3 linked regions of the Saccharomyces cerevisiae S288C genome follow. Changing the gene in region 1 together with any one later gene gives a genetic interaction. Each region holds a gene or a part of one and is shown on either strand. Other genes may lie near its edges. The genes, in order: HGH1, EMW1 and EFT1.

Region 1 (4,932 bases):
CGGTGTCGAGGCCGATGCTGGCAGGAGCAATGTTAAAGTAAAGGACGAAGATCCTAATGAATATAATGAATTTCCCTTAAGAGCTATTCCAAAGGAGGATTTAGAAAACATGAGGACACATCTTTTGAAGTTTCAGAGTAAAAAAAAGATAAACCCTGTAACAGACTTCCATCTTCCCGTAAGACTGCATAGGAAGGATACGAGAAACTTGCAGTTTCAGCTAACAAGAGCAGAAATTGTTCAAAGGCAAAAAGAAATTTCTGAGTATAAAAAAAAAGCAGAGCAAGAAAGAAGTACTCCTAACTCGGGTGGTATGAATAAATCAGGAACGGTCTCGCTCAATAATACTGTTAAAGATGGGTCTCAGACACCTACTGTTGATTCAGTTACTAAAGACAACACGGCCAACGGTGTGAACTCCTCCATTCCTACTGTAACTGGCTCTTCTGTCCCTCCTGCTAGTCCTACTACTGTATCCGCCGTTGAAAGTAATGGACTGTCAAATGGTTCAACTAGTGCAGCTAACGGTTTGGATGGCAATGCATCTACAGCGAATCTAGCTAACGGAAGGCCGTTAGTGACAAAACTAGAGGATGCAGGCCCAGCTGAAGACCCTACTAAAGTTGGAATGGTCAAGTACGACGGAAAAGAAGTGACTAACGAACCGGAATTTGAAGAAGGAACTATGGATCCACTAGCAGATGTGGCACCAGATGGAGGCGGTAGGGCCAAACGAGGAAATTTGAGAAGGAAAACTCGTCAATTAAAAGTTCTTGATGAGAACGCCAAAAAGCTGAGATTTGAGGAATTTTATCCATGGGTTATGGAAGATTTTGATGGGTACAATACATGGGTGGGTTCTTATGAAGCAGGTAACTCAGATTCTTATGTCTTGTTAAGTGTAGAAGATGATGGAAGTTTTACCATGATTCCTGCTGATAAGGTTTATAAGTTTACCGCAAGAAATAAATATGCTACTTTGACCATTGACGAAGCAGAAAAAAGAATGGACAAAAAAAGTGGTGAAGTGCCACGTTGGTTGATGAAGCATTTGGATAATATAGGTACAACTACAACTAGATATGACAGAACAAGAAGAAAGCTTAAAGCCGTCGCTGATCAACAAGCTATGGATGAAGATGATCGTGATGACAATTCAGAAGTAGAGTTAGATTATGATGAAGAGTTTGCCGATGATGAGGAGGCACCTATTATAGATGGTAATGAACAAGAAAATAAAGAATCAGAACAAAGAATCAAGAAGGAGATGCTGCAAGCTAATGCGATGGGGCTTCGTGATGAAGAAGCTCCTTCCGAAAACGAAGAAGATGAGTTATTTGGGGAAAAGAAGATTGATGAGGATGGTGAAAGAATTAAGAAGGCATTACAAAAGACAGAACTTGCAGCACTATACTCATCGGATGAAAATGAGATCAACCCATACTTATCTGAATCCGATATTGAAAACAAAGAGAATGAATCGCCCGTTAAAAAGGAAGAAGATTCGGACACTCTATCCAAATCCAAGAGATCTTCTCCAAAGAAACAGCAAAAGAAAGCTACAAATGCGCATGTGCATAAAGAGCCAACTTTGAGGGTGAAAAGTATTAAAAACTGTGTCATTATCTTGAAGGGGGATAAGAAAATACTGAAAAGCTTCCCAGAGGGAGAATGGAATCCACAGACGACAAAAGCTGTAGATAGTAGTAATAATGCATCGAATACAGTGCCTTCGCCAATCAAACAAGAGGAAGGCTTGAATTCTACAGTGGCAGAAAGGGAAGAAACTCCAGCGCCTACAATAACAGAAAAAGATATCATCGAGGCTATTGGTGATGGCAAAGTCAATATCAAAGAGTTTGGAAAGTTCATCAGAAGAAAATATCCTGGCGCAGAGAATAAAAAGCTAATGTTTGCCATTGTAAAAAAATTGTGTCGAAAGGTTGGCAATGACCACATGGAATTAAAGAAAGAGTAGGTTAGTTTATAATGTTATGTACTTAATAGGTTATTTAGTTTTCGTTCTTTTCATTCTTTCCTTTTTCTTTCCATTTAATCTTATGTAGTTACATTATACTGTCATTTTAGTTGCAGTAAGTATACTTTTTTATCTAGTCTTTTTTTCTGCCTTTTTTTTGAGAAAAGACTCAGAATTCTACTAAACTCTAATATATTGTTATTTCTGTATTATACAATTCTATGCTATGTGAACTGTCCTTGAAAGTGACCTAGGCCACTTCGACAATTTCATCTTCTTCGTCGTCATCTTCTTCTTCTTCACTCTCCTCCTCTTCTTCCTCTTCCGCATTCTTTGATGGCATCTCTTCCACTGCTCCCGCACCTGGCTCGCCTCTCATTAACATATTAACAATTCTGTAACATAATTCACCAATATCTTCATTCTCAACGTTTTTATGCAGCTCCCTCACTAGTGGATAAACGGACTTGTCTCTTAAGTATTCTCTTCCAGCATGCGTTGTACATAGCAAAAGAATACTTTCTAAATGACAGCATATAATTGCAGGAATCGGGTCTCTTTCCTTGTCCTCTGGTAATAATTGAAGTTCATCTGGTAAATTGAACATATCTTCCTCATCAATTTCAGAATCTTTAGCACTAGCAATAGGTAGCAGGATGTAAGGCAACAAGTTTATTTTTTCATCTTTGAGTAACCTTTCATGAGTTTCAGAATCAAATAGGGAATTTTTAATTGTGGAAGCGACACCTTCTCTTCTTACCTTTGCATCATATTTTTCGGTAAATACTAGCAATTTTGAAATAGGAACAACCCCATCGTATTCCTGCTCTTCAATAAAATACATCCTGCCCAATTTAAACCTCGAGATATCCGCAAAAAAAAAGGCTAAATAATTGAAACTGGCATATTTTGTTAATTTTTTATCATAACCCTTAACAAAGCAATCCATTAAACAATCCATGGCTCTCAAACTTTTGAAAACTTCTTTATTTAAAGCTGCTAACTTCAAACCATCATCGACCTCCTCACCGCTTGAATTCCTTTTGATATTCAGAACAGCAAGAATGCCGTCATCCTTGGCTAAGTTGCTTAATAAGATACACATTATATCGGCATTTGGATTGGTTAAATCGACAATTTTCCAAACCAAAAATTTTAAGAACTTCTTGTCATCGCTCAATATAATATTTCTTACTAACTTGTCTTCAGATAAATTGACCAATATAGTGACACCTTGCTGAATAATAACACGGGTGCCGTGTTCTGGATCCATGATCATTTTTATTATATCCTTAATGGGTCTGTAGCTATCATTTTTGAAAACTTTTGAAGTGGGACCAGCACTAAATCCAACTAGATTATCAATGGCAATCTGTCTTACGGCAGGTTGTGGTGAATGCAGAAATTCCACTAATTCATTCAATTGTGAAGTCATCACTCAATTTTTTGTTGATTTTTTTGAGCTATTTTTAATTTTTAAATTAAATTGATACCGTTTTAAGAAGAATAAACTTGTCGTTATTAGAGTAGGTGCGTCATAAATTGATGGATGAGATGAGAGAGCTCAATATGAAAAAATGAAAAAAAAAAAAATTTGAAAAAGCCCTTCGAGGAAGAATAGGGAAAAATCTACAATAATAATTATCGTCTGGGGTGATAACAGAACACATCGAAAGGTAGCACTACCAGTAACATCCCAATTGGCTCTGCAGCTATTAGATGAAATATACTGCGAATTGCGAATCAAGACATCTATTTTTTATTCTTGTTAGTTTTCGCGGTAACAAGTGGAGCAATTGCTACATACTCGATGTATGAAGAGCTTCAGTAAAATAATATCATAACATTATCGCCATTTTTTTGGTACTTGTTTTTCCATAAGTGACAGATGTCAAGATTAAAAAAGAATATATTTACTCAACCTGAGAACCTGCTAGTTTTATATTACCTTTTATATATTAATGTTACAATTGGCTCTACCTGAAGTTGTGTTGTCATTGCTATGGAATCTGGCAGGACACCAAAAAGTCACCTATGCGGGAGATGAAGGCATATTTATTCACTAAAATCTCCTTGACGGTTTCCCCTTATATTGAAAATGTGATAACTCCTCTTCAATGCTTAGAATTACGTTTCTTAAGTGATTTTCTGCGTGCTGTTCCAGATGGCTTTCTATCAAATTCCTTATTTCAACAATCTTTTCAGTCATCGGCAAAGCTTGATTGGAAGCTTGACCGCTATTTAACAGTAAATCAAATATAACGCCCCATATTTCTTTTTTCCAATACCTTTTGAATGGGTTCTTCAATTTGCATCGTCCATTCTGCAGCTGGATTGTTTCTATGAATTTTCCAAAAAGCATCGAATGTATGACGCCTGCTAATCCATAATAATCCGCTTCATAACTCCATGGCTTGCCCGCACGCATTTCCCAGCAATCTTGCTGATCAGCCTTCCAATTTGATTTGAATTTCGTTCCAGGTGGTAACAGTGTCATATCAAATGATCTACCGAAATCTATTAAATAGATTCCCTTGTTTTCCCAGCCATCCTCTCCATTGCGCATATAATGAGCACCCAGGGGTTCGCCTGGTTTTTCTAATCTGATCATGCAGTTATCTGGTTTCAAATCGCCATGTATTATTCCCACTTCATGTATCTTTTCAAGTACTTTCATTAGCTCGACAGTGATAAACATGCACAAATATTCATCCATTATTCCGTTGCCGTCAATTGCCTTTTCCCGTTGTAAATTAATTAAATCCAAGACCGTACCTTGACTGGCGTAGTTTAAAACAAGGTAGCTCTCATCAAGGAACAAGTGTAAAGCACTAGCGTTGATTATTGACTTTAATATTGTGCTCTTCCTCAACCTAAACTCCACTTGGCTCATTATGTAATATTCCCATACACTTGCAGGTTTTTCTACTTTCAACGCTCGCAGATGTCCTTGA
Region 2 (7,787 bases), on another chromosome or scaffold:
CCTTGACCAAATCAGAATGGAACTGCAAGGTAGTATGTGGCCTTGCAAATTCCTGGTGTAGTTTGTATTCTGCTAGGGAAGTCATCATACAATGTGTTGTTTGGGGTCCGACAAACTGCCATTGGATGTAGTGTAGTTCCATTCCCTGTTCTTCGTTCGGTTTTGCATCCTCAGATTGAACTTGTCTAGGAAGTGGCAACACGAATATAGGGTTATTCCTGGCATTTGCCATCATCTTATCATAAACGGAGACAGGAATCACAGCGCATAATGTATTATCTTTTTGTGCCCATCTTGCTCTCCAAAGAAACTCTACTTCCTGTTTCGATAAGTCCTTCAGTTTTCCAACATCCAAAAAAGAGTCCAATGTTTTGAAGGGAACTTTAGGAGCACTTGGATCGAGAGGACTTCTTGATTTCGTCATCAAATGCTTGGAGTTGTTATTTTCCATTTGAGTTTTTTGTTGGTAATCCTCTAGTTCTTTCAGGGGGTCGATTTTATTAAATTCCCGCTTCTTAGACTCTATAGTCTCTTTCAAATGATTTTTCAACTCTTCTATGCTGTTAAAACCTTGTTTTTGAGCCTCTTCCAAAAGTTTCTTTCTATACTTCTGCTCTGGGCTGGAAGAATAAAAACGAAAAACAGGAACTGTTCCAATTGCCTTGTTAAAAATGGGCGACAGCTGATTAGAAATATGGATTCTAGTGCCGATTTTTCTGGTTAGTCTCCACATAGTTATTCTTAAATCTCTTTTGTTCTCTATTTTCAAGTCTTGATAAGTTCTTCACATCCTTCGATTACGGCGTCAAAATAAGCGTTATTTCCATTCGGGTGAGTTGAACCATTGATAACAACATGGTTTAACGATACTTTGAAAGGTTTAGGCGGAGCCAACCATAATGGATGAATCGGTGGATCCTGTGGAGCTGCTTCTACGACTACTGATACGGCACAAACCTCATCTGAAACCATATGCCTACAGACAAGATAGCTGGCAAAGGGTGCTCGATGAGTACAACAGACAGACTGGGTCAAGATATAGACAATCAAGGACGTTAAAAACCAAATTTCGTCGACTGAAGGACCTCTTCAGCGCAGATCGAGCCCAATTCTCTCCTTCCCAGTTGAAGCTGATGGGAGCACTCTTGGACGAAGCACCAGAACATCCAAGACCAAGAACTAAATTCGGAAATGAATCATCTTCATCCTTATCATCATCTTCTTTCATTAAAAGTCATCCGGGGCCTGATCCGTTTCAACAATTATCATCCGCTGAACATCCGAATAACCACAGCTCCGACGATGAGCATTCAGGCTCACAACCGCTGCCCCTGGATTCAATAACGATTGGAATTCCGCCTACTCTTCACACAATCCCCATGATTCTGTCTAAGGATAACGACGTCGGGAAAGTCATCAAAAGCCCTAAGATAAACAAGGGTACAAATAGGTTCAGCGAGACAGTACTGCCTCCACAAATGGCTGCTGAGCAATCGTGGTCGGACTCTAATATGGAATTGGAAATATGTCTAGATTATCTTCACAACGAACTCGAGGTGATAAAGAAAAGGCAAGAAGATTTTGAGTGTAAAGTTTTAAACAAGCTCAACATAATTGAGGCTCTCCTTTCACAGATGAGACCACCCAGCCAAGGAGATAAAATATAAAAACTTCTATTAGATATGCTTGATTCATGTCCATATGTATCTATTTATACAAACATTACGTAATATACACAGATTATACATGAAAGGTGCTCTTCATATTTGGCTTCTTGCTTCCACTAGCCTATCCCAACCAGGAGAGTCATCCCATCTGCCTTTGCCTTTACTCATTAGAGCTTTGATAGTAGATCTACATTTGTATTTCCAGTCTTTGCAAACCAGACTGCCTGGCCCATATTTACCTTCCATTTCACCAAGTGATTCATAGGCAGCCACCAAATCTTCACAAGCATCCACTGTATCATTCCAAACCTTTTCTTCAACTTCTAAATCAGGATTGTGAGAAATGGCCCTATAAGCCTTCTCGTGGCATTCTAGGGCGGCCCATGGTCTCTTCCTCCAAAGTTCTACTCTTGCGACCAGTCGCCAACATCTTGCACTGGTTGTAATTACCTGAGGTAAAGTGTTACAGATAAACTCAGTACAGCTCTTTTGAAAATAAGATAATTGCTGCGGCTCCTCTGGATATTCACTAGTCACTAATAGTTCTACTAGTTTTTCAATAATTGGTAAGTCGATGGAACCTTCGCCAGATTTGTCCCTCCTAATACTGACTAATTGTTTACATGCAGTTAAGACATCCTCCCACTCATTCAACTTAACAGCAACAAGCATGTAATTCTCCCAAATTTTCCAGTTCTTTTGAGCGTCACATGAAATGGCTCTTTTCAAACAACTATAAGCTTCTTTCAATTTATCCATTTTCGTATATGCAGCGCTCAAATTTGACCATGAAAGAGCATGATAAGGGTCTAATGAAACACATCTGGTAAATGCCTCCGCAGCTATCTGCATTTTACCACATTGTAATCCAACGCAACCATAAAAATACCACGTTTCAAAGCTTAATGGGTATTGCCTTAACGAGTCATTTAAATGTTTCAAGGTAGCAGAGTAATTTGGTTGTGCTCCAGACTTTGGAGGAGGATTAAAGTAATACTTTGCAAGGGAATTTTTTGCGTTGACGTATTTTCCAATCTCCCAACTTTTTTCCCATAGGGATGGATCCTGTTTTATATCACCCAAAATGGAGTAAGCCCTGGCATCCGAATCATTTTCATTTATTCTTTGAAGAAGGATTTCTTCTGCCTTTTTTTCATCTCCAACAGCGGCATAACATAATGCAGTCTCGCATGCCATACCAAGTCTTTCATAAATTTCCACAGCGGACTTCAAAATACCCAGCGACATATATTTTTCAGCTAAGGTGGCATCCAATTGCCACCTAGGGATGAACGGCAGCTGGTGGATGTATGACAGCCTGCTAGCAACATTGATTTCGCTTGAACTTGGAACCAATTTACTCTTAATCTTCAAATCCAATTCTTCTACGAGGGATTGCATTTGTAAAAGTCCTCTTTCAATAGTTTTAGCCTTTGTTGTCTCAATAATTGACCTTTCCCATAATGATCGGGCGAAAATAGACCAATTTTTGTCACCGTTTTGATATAATATTCTAGAAAGCAAAGCAGTAAGTTCTTCTTCCACAAGAGGATCCTTGGCCGGAGTTGTGTTCTTTATGGTGTAAAGACGTAACAGCAACTGGATGTTGTCGTAATCAGATAGGGTAGGTTGATCGTTAGGGTTCAAATCCAGCAACAACTTTGGAATATTTTCTTGACGTAGTGCCAATGGCAATAGTTTATCTTCTTCATAACCTTCATTTAGGTCTACCTTTTGTCTTTTACTATAAATTTGCTCGTCTAGAGGTTCATCAGCAATGGACTCAAAATGAGGCTTCTCCAATAATAGATCGGACTCTAAAGCAAATGTTTCTGGTGTAGCAGATGTCGTTCTCAAAGCAAAATTTTGAAATGTGAAGGATTTGGCAAGAATGATCAAACCGGCATGAGCCTTTTGCTGATATTTAGTTCTAGTAGCGCGTGCACCCGTCATTACAAATTCAAAATTTGTTATCTTTTTCGCTCTGGTCAAGGATGGCAGGCACAAATGTTCTGTGTTGATGGCCAATGAACATTTGACATTCTCTAGATAGTACATTGCACAAAGTTCTCTTTTGAAATCTTCGTGAATACTCTCCGGTAATTCCTTAGTTATCGCATATGCAAGGTCAGCAGACTGATATATTGCAGATGCAACACTAGCTTGGAACCCAGAAGGTTCTGGAATCAGTGACAATTGCGTCAAAAGAGCTCTTGCCCACCACCAATAAGCTACAGCTAATAATCCAGGAGTAGACTCAGCAGAGATAATAGGTAGCGGAATTTCTTGATCCGGGGTAACATCAAATAAGCTTTTTTGGCCGGTTATCCTTTCAAGTAATAATAGTGATAAAACCAAATACAATGGATCATCCATAAATTCGTAGGCAGGCTGGCCCATAATGGCTAATGAGCGGGAAAGGGCTGTATTAACTGCTCCTATTTCAATTCCAGTTTTGCCAAACAAACCTGAGATTGCTTTCAACCTAGCTGCTGGGCCGGTGTAGTTATTTTGAATAAAGGTCTGTAAGAGGGCAATAGCCAAAAATAGCATCTCATTTTCTTGGCCCATTTTGAAAACCTCAACGTTAAGAAAGTCATTTAGAGCAGCAATAACACTAGATGTGGATATTTCTCCCGAAATACTAATTTTTCCCTTAAATTTGTCCACAAATTGCTGTACTAGCTGGTATGATTCACCACTGATGATATGTTCAGCCTTTTTCACATATGTCTGGTCGAAAGAACCACTTTTCAGAGATTCTACTTCTGCAGACAGCAATAATTTTGCATGCAATAACGTCTCCATAATTTTGCAACCACTAGTTTACTTTTTGCCTGGTCTGATAGCTTCTTTTTAGCAATTCCTTTGGCCTCGATGAGCTTCCATTTTCAATTTTCATCTTTTTTTTCACGATGCGAAGTTTCTTAGATAATTATCGCCATATACGAAACGCGTTAGGAAACGCGTTCTTTCCTTTATAATAAGCAATATTATATCAACTTAAGGTGGAAGTAATGTGGCAAAATCGATAGCGACTATCTAGAACAGGCTAGTTTAAGCATATACATAATGGCAAGTATGTATTAGTGCTAGGAATTGGAGGATTTGCTCTTTTCTGCATCATTTTTTTTATTTTTATTGGCGAATGTTAAAATTACTAACAATGGATGGGATTCCAATACAGCCTATCAACCATATAACGAATATTCATCAGTAACGGGCGGTGGCTTTGAGAACTCTGAGTCCCGCCCAGGTAGTGGGGAGTCGGAAACTAACACTAGAGTTAACACCTTGACACCTGTGACGATCAAACAAATTCTAGAGTCCAAACAGGATATTCAGGACGGCCCCTTCGTTTCGCATAACCAAGAACTTCATCACGTTTGTTTTGTAGGTGTGGTGAGAAACATTACAGACCATACTGCAAATATTTTTTTAACTATTGAGGATGGAACTGGTCAAATAGAAGTGAGAAAATGGAGCGAAGATGCAAATGACTTGGCTGCCGGTAACGATGACTCTTCTGGTAAAGGTTATGGTTCGCAAGTCGCCCAACAATTTGAAATTGGCGGTTACGTAAAAGTTTTTGGTGCTTTGAAAGAGTTTGGTGGTAAGAAAAATATACAGTATGCGGTGATTAAGCCCATAGATTCATTCAATGAAGTGTTGACGCATCACTTGGAAGTCATCAAATGTCATTCCATAGCCAGTGGAATGATGAAACAACCTTTGGAGAGTGCATCCAACAACAATGGGCAATCATTATTTGTCAAGGATGATAACGATACATCTTCCGGCTCCAGTCCGTTACAAAGAATTCTAGAATTTTGTAAGAAGCAATGTGAGGGCAAAGACGCTAATTCATTCGCTGTTCCCATTCCATTGATCTCGCAATCCTTGAATTTGGATGAAACTACCGTCAGAAACTGCTGTACGACCTTGACTGACCAGGGTTTTATCTACCCAACTTTTGATGACAATAACTTCTTTGCCCTATGAAAATATATAGATTATTTTTTTAGCATTTCTTAGTATTCGTTTGTGTATTTCTACTAGGTAAGTACCAAAATTTGCCGGAAATAGAGTGGAAAATGGAACCCGTTCCAAGAAGGGGTAAGATGCATGAATATTAAGTTGGTTGCATAAATATGCTATATAAAGTCCACTACAAAAAGTCATTTATTTTTGCCCGTAAGAATAAAGAACGAATCCGTCCTTATCTCTGACTTCAATGGGAACATTTACACGCAGTACGGGCTTCAATAATAGTTCCCAGTCGTATCTGGTTCTAGGTGTACATAATGAAAAATGTCTCAGCATTCTTATTTTGACAGCTTTGAATTTTGACAAATTTCTCAGGAAACACCAGAGGTTAATATTTGGAATATCTTTAAAATTCTCTGGATCTTGGAAATCATTGAAAAAATTTTCCAATGTCACATTTTGTAAGAACTCCTCCACATCTAAATCTCTATATTCGATGGTTCGGTTCTTCAATTTGATTAAACTATCTCTTAGGCAACGCCTTACAGAGTTGTTCCAATAGTAAGTGTGGTGAATGTCTGATTCAGGGCTCATTACTGTACTTAAATTTGGAACTGCATTAGCATTTGGTATGTTATCTCTTATGGAATTATTTTCGTAACCGATTAATGTTTCTTGATCGTTCTCGTCGCCAACATCCTCATCTGTCTCATCAACACTAGTAATTGTTCTTGCTAGATGTTCCCAAAACGATAGAGGGGATAAAGGATACACATTGGTAAAGGGGATATTGATTACGTTAATAGAAATATTTTTACTTGGAAGTCTCTCCCAAAGTAAGCGGTAATAATGGTAGAAAGAATGAAATTCAGGGATTCTTTGTCGTTGAAAATTTTGTAGCTGTGCCGCAGTTAACATGGCGGGCTTTTTGTTATTGTCTGGTGATGGGTTATTTGAAACATCATTTCCTGTAGTTCTAGAAATATAGTTCAGATTTAAGGACAATACAACTGAAGATGTCGGCGGAGGAGTAATTATCTTCGAATCTGATGGCGCTTCAAATAATGTTTCTGTCATGGAATTGCAGTCATCAAAATCATCTTCTGTATCCAAACTTCGCTGTTGGAAATAATATGATTCGCCGACTACCTGTTCGTTAGTGAAACATTTGCTATTACAATCAATTGTTAGATTGGATAACGATGGGAAACAACTGCATAACAATAAGTCGAATTTACTGTTAATCTTCAGTAAGGATAGATGTTTGACCATTTTAAAGTAAGAGTGAAACAAACGTAATATTCCATTTCCAGGAACTACATCACATGAATCTAAAGTAAGTGCAGTGATAGGAGACTGTAAACTGTACAGTTCATTATCTTCGTTCTTTAGAAATAGTGGTAAGAATTCCATTGGAGTATCTAGCGATTCGGTGTCTATCGTTACATTTTCTAGTTTAAGTTCATTAATTATGCCGAAACAGCAGAATAAACTCGGTCTTAGTACGAGCTTTTGGTGATGGCGTTGACGATTAAAGGTTCTTTGTCTTTTATTATTAGCTTTGATTTCCAGTATTTTCAACCTTGGCAGAGAATAATACTTGGATTCGTATTCTTTGACAAATTTTTTGGATAGTTGGAAAGTCCTCAAATCTTCGTTTGTGATGGATTGCTGGCCCTTGATTATTTTCTTGAAAAAATCTCTAGATCCATCGTTGAATACAGAGTACCATAAAGGAATTTTAAAATTCGGTTCCACATCACTCAGAATCACTCTGGTCAGGTTCGGTAGATAGTCTATAATATCAAGCATTAGCTCAATATAAGTATAATGGAAGTAGTTGCTTTCCAATTTATCAAGCAGTTTGATTCGTTCTGAAGTTATGATGGGAGTCTCATCGTTTAGTCTGATGTTATTCAGTTTTTTTACGTCTTTATCATACGAATCGAGTTTATAAGATCCAGCAATAATAGAATCTTGGCCACTCTTATTATAGAACTTACTGTATTTTAACAACGAGTCTTGGGACTGAGGATTTTTGAATTCGATGGATCTTACGAGGAACCTTGCATTTTGTGATCTAGATTGTGTGCTACAATCACCGCTGTGTGTGACAATGTTCGACGTGTGGAA
Region 3 (7,408 bases), on another chromosome or scaffold:
AGTTTCTAAAGTAAGGTCAGGATACTCTTTGGATAGTTCTTTGGCAACATTAACGAATAAACCATCAGCTAATCTCTGGATAGTAGATTTATGTACCACAATAACTCTTGGTCTGCCGATGGCTCTTGCATATTCAAAAGCGTATCTAATGACTCGCTCAGAGGCATCTCTTGTGATCAGTTTAATAGATTGAACAACGCCAGGGCAAACTATGTGTTCGATACCAGAATATTCACCTTCGGTATTCTCTCTGATAAGAACTAAATCAACGTTTTCGTAAGTGGTCTTAAAACCTTCAATAGACTTTGCGGGACGAACGTTGGCAAATAACCCAAATGTTTTTCTCAATGTCAAATTCAAAGATCTGTGACCTTTACCAATAGGTGTAGCTAGTGGACCTTTTAGTGCAACCAGGTTTTTTGTGATAGATTGTACGGCAGGGTCAGGAATGGTCGTTAATCCGTTGACAAAGATAGGGCTAACATCACAAGATTCCCATTCTATGGGGACGTTTGCTGCACTAAAGATTTTCTTTACAGACTTGGAAATTTCAGGTCCGATACCATCACCTTCAATGAACGAGACCGTGTATTTGCCGGTAGAAGGGTTAGGTTTGCCGGTATATCTTCCGATTGAAGGTTGCTTTACAGTAGCCAAAAACCTCCTCGAGGTGTTTCTAAAAAAAGTATTTCTCAACATTATTAAAAAATATTATAATTGTTGTTCGTTCCCGATCTGTATCTTATTATCTACCAAGGTAATTCAGGTTCAGAAAAAGTGTATCCAATAATGTCATGCACTTGGAATATATATTTATATAAATATGAATAATAAATGAAAAAGAAATAAGAAAAGAGGAAAACTTTAGAAGGAGGGTTTTTCTGATATGACTATGATGAGAAACTAAAACCTTAGGGCCTATAATAAGGGACCTATGAGCTTTTCAATAACTTATATATTCTTTAACCAAACAATGGAAGTTACAGAAAATAGGAACTGACCAACCAGAGCGGCCCGTGTCATGCCCCCCCTTGCCGAGATGCGGACCGAGATTGCTGAAAGAAGCGCCGAGTATCGCAAAAGGCCCCTGGCGGGGCAACGACAATTTCTTCGCCGAACCTCGGAATCGACTAGCAGATCACAGTGCTTAGGAAGCTAAGGCTGCGTTCTAGAAGGGCTAGTGAGTCTTCTCAACCATGACTGTCGTTGTTTGTGTTTGGTTTTATGTTCACCTCTAGGAACTCTTTCTGTAGGGTCTTTGATGCCAGTATTGCTGCTGTTTCCAACGTTCCCAAGTAATTTACTAAGTCTGGGAGAAAGGGACTCTGCACTCAATGTTCTACCTTTAAAGGATCTCGGTACAGAAAGCCCATTGTTATCAAAATCTATTGGGCTAGGAAACAGTGCATGATGATGATGATGATGATGATGTATGGTAAAATTGTTGGAGTCAGAAAGTGCACGTGACCTTGGAAGCATATGGTCATCTATTGAAGGGTGCACAAAATCTTCTTCATCGGAGTCAATAGCCATTTCAGGAACGGTAATGTTGTTAAACTTTGCTACTGTTCCTGCATGCGGCATGGTGTCCTTATTCGCTTTTTCCGTATTCGGTATTATATCTGAAGCGTGTAGTATGAGGAATTCGATGACAGTTCTGGAAGCCTCATACTCTTTCGGGCACATTTCATCCTTGGGATGAGACAAAAGTGAGGGTTGTACGATGGCCGCTAAATTGCTTGCTGACATTAAATTCTTCTTTTCATTTCTTGCAAATAAATTCAAGAGCGCGGCTAAATAAAGTATTAAATGGCGATTTTGTTGTGGTAAGAGCATATAAATATCTTCGTAGTCCTTAATGATTTGTTCTTTGTGCTCATTTATTTTTGGGTTTTCTAATATTGGATTTCTAAAAATGTCGTATAATGCTAGGGGAACCAAAGGCTCACTTAATGAGTTCAAATATCTTTTTAATAAAGTTGCAATGTCATGAACATTGAAATCACACCATCCTTCAAATTTACGACCATAATCGGGCGGTTTAGAGAAAACAGCTTGTAGCTCTCTAACACGTTTATTGCTTCCCGCAATACGGAAAATTCCTGTTGTGTCTAATGCATTCTCTTTTAGGTATTTCCCACTTTTTGCTATTACCACCGGTATGGAACCAATTTCATTTGTACTTTTTTGGATAATTACTTCCTCTTGAGCAACTTTCAGTGATTCCTCGAGTGAGACGCCAAATACTTTACCATCAAATTCGTTTTGCAAATTAGTAAAGGTGTCCCTATCCTTCTTGCCCTCAACAGAAGACATTGAAGATGACCTATTCTGTGGAGAACCCTCTTCAGAAGAAGGTGTAGAAAGTAGATTCATGTTAAACATTCTATTTTATGTTGTGTAATAAGATATGTCCAGAAATATACTATGGTTATTTATGTACTCTTTCCTGTGTACGCGTTTCGATTATTTTGCAGGTTATATTATATACTGCTATCACATGCTAAAACAAGAGTATCTAACAATGGGAACACAAAGCAAGTATTGATTTACTCATTCCAGTTGTGTAATTTTCTTCTAAAGATGTACTTAAATAAGAAGAAAACAATGATTGTCTTCGACCTCAACGCCTCGAACCAACGCTTTCCCCAATAGCGAGAGAAAGTAAGTAACCGGAAAATTAATTACCTCTTTCTTTCACCTGCAGGGGCTGAGGTGCTTCTGTTAGTGCGCCTCTAGAAGTATCGGCCATAATGAGATATATACTTTGGTTGCCCCTCCGGTTTTGAGGGAGTTTTAGCCCGATGAGGCTGGTCCTCCCCTCCAAGGATTTTTTGTATTTCCTATTTCGCTCTAATTATAGAAGCACCAACATACGGCGGGGTATAAACCAAACAATAGCCGCGGAAGCCCAATCTTCTTCTCCTTTTTTCGTAAACGGATAAAAAGCTATGACCAAGAGCCAGGTAAGTTATACGTAATACTACCTCAGGACCGATGTCATTAATGAATTATAATGGTTTTTAATAGTTTTTTCCATAGTATATCTAACGGGGTGGTGATACGTCGTAATAGTCAAGAAGTTGCCGTTCCTCCCCCTCTACAAAGGGGGCGGTAATACGAAAAGGTCCATTTTTATGATGGGTTCGATTGTAAACATTCGGAATATAACTATATGACAAAAATGTGTAAGAAAATAATATATAAGTCTATTACCATACTATTTTTATTACGACAAAATTTTAAAGCAGAGAATAAATGAAAAAGATCATAAGGCGGTAAGGTTTGCTCTTACAGAACCACCTTTTCTCATTTAGACTTCTTACAATTTGTCGTAATATTCTTGCCAGCCTGGAACTTCTTCCTTCATACCGTGTCTCTTACGAGCAGCAAGAACAATTTCACCAGCCTTAGAGGTTGGGTCCAATGGGTCAGAACCTAAAGTGGACCAATGGTCGAAAACCATTTGTGGGAAAGCTTGACCACCGGTAGCTTGTCTCAATTCACCAGTGAAACCGAAAGATTCGTTAACTGGCAAGTAGGCCTTGACGGTAAACAATGGAGTACCTGGTCTTTGTTCTTCAGAAACGACTTGACCTCTCTTCTTGTTTAAGACGGAGTAGATACCACCGACGGCTTGTTCTGGACATTGAATTTCGACCAAGAAAACTGGTTCTTGGATCTTTGGATCAGCCAACAAGAAACCGGCGTAAGTAGCTCTTCTCATGGTTGGGATGATTTGACCACCACCTCTGTGGATAGCATCGGCATGTAAAGTAACATCCAAAATGTTAACTCTGACAGATCTCATTTCTTCACCGAAAATTGGACCTTCCTTGGTAGCCCATTGGAAAGCAGCAACAACGGAATCCTTGATTTCGTGCAAGTATTGGACAGCCTTAGTTTGGTCAATAACCAAGTTTGGACCGTTACCGTCTGGACCGAAACACCAGATCTTTCTGGCATCGGTGACATCCCAACCGTAGTCGTCAGCCATGATTCTAGCTCTGGCCTTGAAATCATCTCTTGGGTTGATGATACCGTTTTCAATAGCCAAAGAGACTTCTTCGTCAATTGGTTCAGCCTTCAAGTAGATTCTGTTATGCTTGTTTGGAGACTTGGACAAAGCAGTTTGAGAAGATTCACTTTCAACAGTTTCTCTGTAAGCGACAACTGGTGGGGAGATCTTCAATGGAACACCAGCGTGGTCGTGTTCCAAATCTTGCAAACAAATTTCCAAATGCAATTCACCGGTACCAGCAACGATATGTTCACCGGATTCAGACATATAGGTCAAGACACATGGATCAGACTTGGACAATCTCTTCAAACCTTCGACCAATTTTGGTAAGTCGTTAGCGTTCTTGACTTCGACAGCGACTTGCACAACTGGAGAGACAGAGAATTTCATGACCTTCATGTTGTGAGCAGTTTCACTGGTGGTCAAAGTACCAGTCTTCAACAAGAATTGATCGATACCGACTAAACCGATAATGTTACCGGCTGGACAGTCATCGATTGGTTCGACAAATCTACCCATCATCAAAACAACTCTTTGAATGGCCTTGATGAACAAATCGTCCTTCTTACCTGGAACGTAGTTTGGACCTTGGATTCTGACCTTTTGACCGGACTTAACAGTACCGGCAAAAACTCTACCGAAGGCGTAGAATCTACCCTTATCAGAGGTTGGCACCATCTTGGAGACGTACAACATCAAATCAGCCTTTGGATCACAGTTCTTGATAGCAATACAGTTGGCATCGTCAGCTGGACCTTCGTATAATTGTTCAGCTCTGTAGGCTTGAGCAGTGACTGGAGATGGCAAGTGCAAGACAATCATTTCCAATAAGGCATCGGCAGCTGGCAAGAACTTTCTCATAACAACCTTCAACAAGGCCTTACCTTCCAAGTCCTTTTCGTCACCCTTCAAGACAATTTCCAACTTTTCTAGCAAAACTGGAATTTCGTCTTTCTTGAAGTTCATGATAGCAGTGAATAATCTGAAGATTGGGTCCAAGATGAACATGTTGAAAGCTCTTTCCAATGGCTTACCTTCAGCATCAGTGTCCTTGTTGGTCCACTTCTTGGTCTTTGGGTTGAAGAAAGAGTCACCCCATAATCTGTCCATCATCTTGGCCTTGTCGACACCGAATTTCTTAGCATATCTGGTGGCGAATTGACGGATAGTGAAAGCCCAACCGTGCAAACCGGAACCGAAGGCAACGGTACCTCTGGCTGGGTAAACTTGGACATCACCCAAAACTTCATCGGCGTAGGTGGAAACGATGACGTTAACGGATTCAACAGTTCTGGCAAAGGTTTGGTATAAATCTTCCTTAGAAACTTGCAATTCCAACAAAGCTCTGTCGACCTTGTTGATAACAACAACAGGCTTGATTCTTTCACCCAAAGCTTGTCTCAAAACAGTTTCGGTTTGGACACAGACACCTTCAATGGTGTCGACGACAACCAAAGCACCGTCAGTGACACGTAAAGCGGCAGTAACTTCAGAGGAGAAGTCAACGTGACCTGGAGAGTCGATCAAGTTGATCAAGAAGGAGTTACCGTCGGTCTTTTGCTTGATTTCCTTGACATCTTCGTCAGACATTTCAGAGTATAGAGAAATAGCGGTAGACTTGATAGTGATACCTCTTTCTTGTTCATCCTTTCTGGTATCGGTGAAACGAGCTTCACCAGCCTTAGCAGCGGAAATAATACCGGCTCTTTGGACCAAGGAATCGGTCAAAGTGGACTTACCATGATCGACGTGAGCAATAACGGACATGTTACGCACATTGGTAACTTTGTCCATTAAAGAACGCATTTGGTCAACAGTGAAAGCAACCATTTTTATCTGTTATTAAAAATTCTTGGGTGCGTAGGTCTGGCTTTCTGGCAAATGGGGTTAAGTAAAAAAACCAGTGAAGCGTTTAATACAACAGTAGTATGCAATTGAGATTAATTAAAGGAAGGCTCATGGCAAAAAAAAATTTTCTAGGTGAGATTTGAAAAAAAATTTTAAAAGTGCAACACGGAAGTTTACCCGGGATTAATATCAACTAAAGGAAAAAGATCACCTTGTTCAAAGGTATGAATTTTCTACTTTATATACGTATTATTTAGTGGACATGCCCAAAAGTGAAGCAGCATGGCGCGCATTCAGTGATGTAGTGTCTGAGTCCTGAGAGTTGTACCCATCGTCTTCAGTGAATAGTTCATCATCAAATTCGGTATGAGCGATCTTGTTGATGGGGATTTGACTTTTGCGGTTGCTCTCTCCCGTCCAACTGTCCCCTTTAAGGGTTTGAGAAGTATCGGAGTTGTTGTTTGAGACAGCATGGCGTCCTAGACGTGACAAACCTCCGTTTTCATCAGCTTTTCTGATATCAGAACGTACTCGTTCTAGTAACGTCAGCTTCTTTCTTTCATACTCTATCTTTCTTAGTGTAAATTCTTTGATCGAGCTTCTTATCCATTCTTCATACCAGCTAATCCACTGTTTTCTCTCGATAATCATGTTGGACGTGATTCGTTGAAGCTTAAGGGTCAAAACTTGTTCGTTTTTAGCTGCAGCTTTCAACTGACGTAGTGCTTCATCGATTTTCATAGGGTTAATATCTCTTCTTGACCGGAACCTGCGTGCTTGTTCCTGTTTCGCCTTTGAATTCTGCTGTGCCTGTACTAGATTTCGCATGATAAAATGCCTGTTGGTCAATGCTTCCTTCACGGCATAAGCATCTCTGACAATCCACTCTAAACCATCGTACAATGTCGCCATGTCCATGGTTGCTATAATGCTATCAATATCACCCACAGCAGTCAATATTTTACCGTATCTTCTGTAAAGTTTATTGTGCTCATCTAGATTAACGAAATCCTGGCCGAAGGCATTTTCTTCTTGAACCATCATCTTGCGATTTCTGGAAACTCTTAGCAGTTTTTCTTGCAAGCTCTGAGAAACAACATATATAGACTTGACTAATGGCCGGAATTCTGCTAATTCTGTGATTTCATCATATGGAGGTGCTAATTGTTTCAATGTTTTTCTTTTCAACCCAGATGCGAGTGATTTGGACTTGTTGATGGGTGTGTACGTATTAAAGTCACTTTCAATGAAAAAGGCCACTTCTTCATTCCGAATAATTAAGGGGTCTTGCGATAGCCTGTTAAACCAAAGTTGGAAATTTCGCGTTACTTTCATCCTATCTTCTTCGCTATTAATTCCGAATGTAGTATACGCAGAGGGAAGAGTAGGAACAAAAGATTCCTGAATGGCAACATTCAGATATTTGAACAATTGGTGGAATTCTTCGTATGATTTTTTGACATTCTTGTATTGTTGTTTGCGAAATGTTGGCAAATTTGTGGAGCAATCAAATATAATAGTCGGATTCTCTTTCTTACC

The links.
Region 2: mutations in HGH1 (region 1) and EMW1 impair growth when combined (synthetic growth defect), as found in Saccharomyces cerevisiae (one study listed by BioGRID).
Region 3: mutations in HGH1 (region 1) and EFT1 impair growth when combined (synthetic growth defect), as found in Saccharomyces cerevisiae (2 studies listed by BioGRID, with this or other methods).

Annotation. Positions count from the first base shown.
Region 1 is NC_001139.9:868,004-872,935, forward strand, and holds HGH1 (Hgh1p), read right to left. Parts: upstream 3,414-4,932; coding exon 2,229-3,413; downstream 1-2,228. Other genes in the region: transcription factor IIF subunit TFG1, read left to right, coding at 1-1,978; protein kinase BUB1, read right to left, coding at 4,041-4,932.
Region 2 is NC_001146.8:43,548-51,334, forward strand, and holds EMW1 (tetratricopeptide repeat-containing protein EMW1), read right to left. Parts: upstream 4,476-7,787; coding exon 1,761-4,475; downstream 1-1,760. Other genes in the region: ATP11 (Atp11p), read right to left, coding at 1-733; DAL82 (Dal82p), read left to right, coding at 900-1,667; RFA2 (Rfa2p), read left to right, coding at 4,740-4,746, 4,855-5,669; putative SCF ubiquitin ligase complex subunit SKP2, read right to left, coding at 5,850-7,787. UniProt on the Saccharomyces cerevisiae protein: Required for the maintenance of the cell wall integrity.
Region 3 is NC_001147.6:573,541-580,948, reverse strand, and holds EFT1 (elongation factor 2), read right to left. Parts: upstream 5,852-7,408; coding exon 3,323-5,851; downstream 1-3,322. Other genes in the region: isocitrate dehydrogenase (NAD(+)) IDH2, read right to left, coding at 1-699; GTPase-activating protein BAG7, read right to left, coding at 1,156-2,385; retromer subunit VPS17, read right to left, coding at 6,119-7,408. UniProt on the Saccharomyces cerevisiae protein: Catalyzes the GTP-dependent ribosomal translocation step during translation elongation.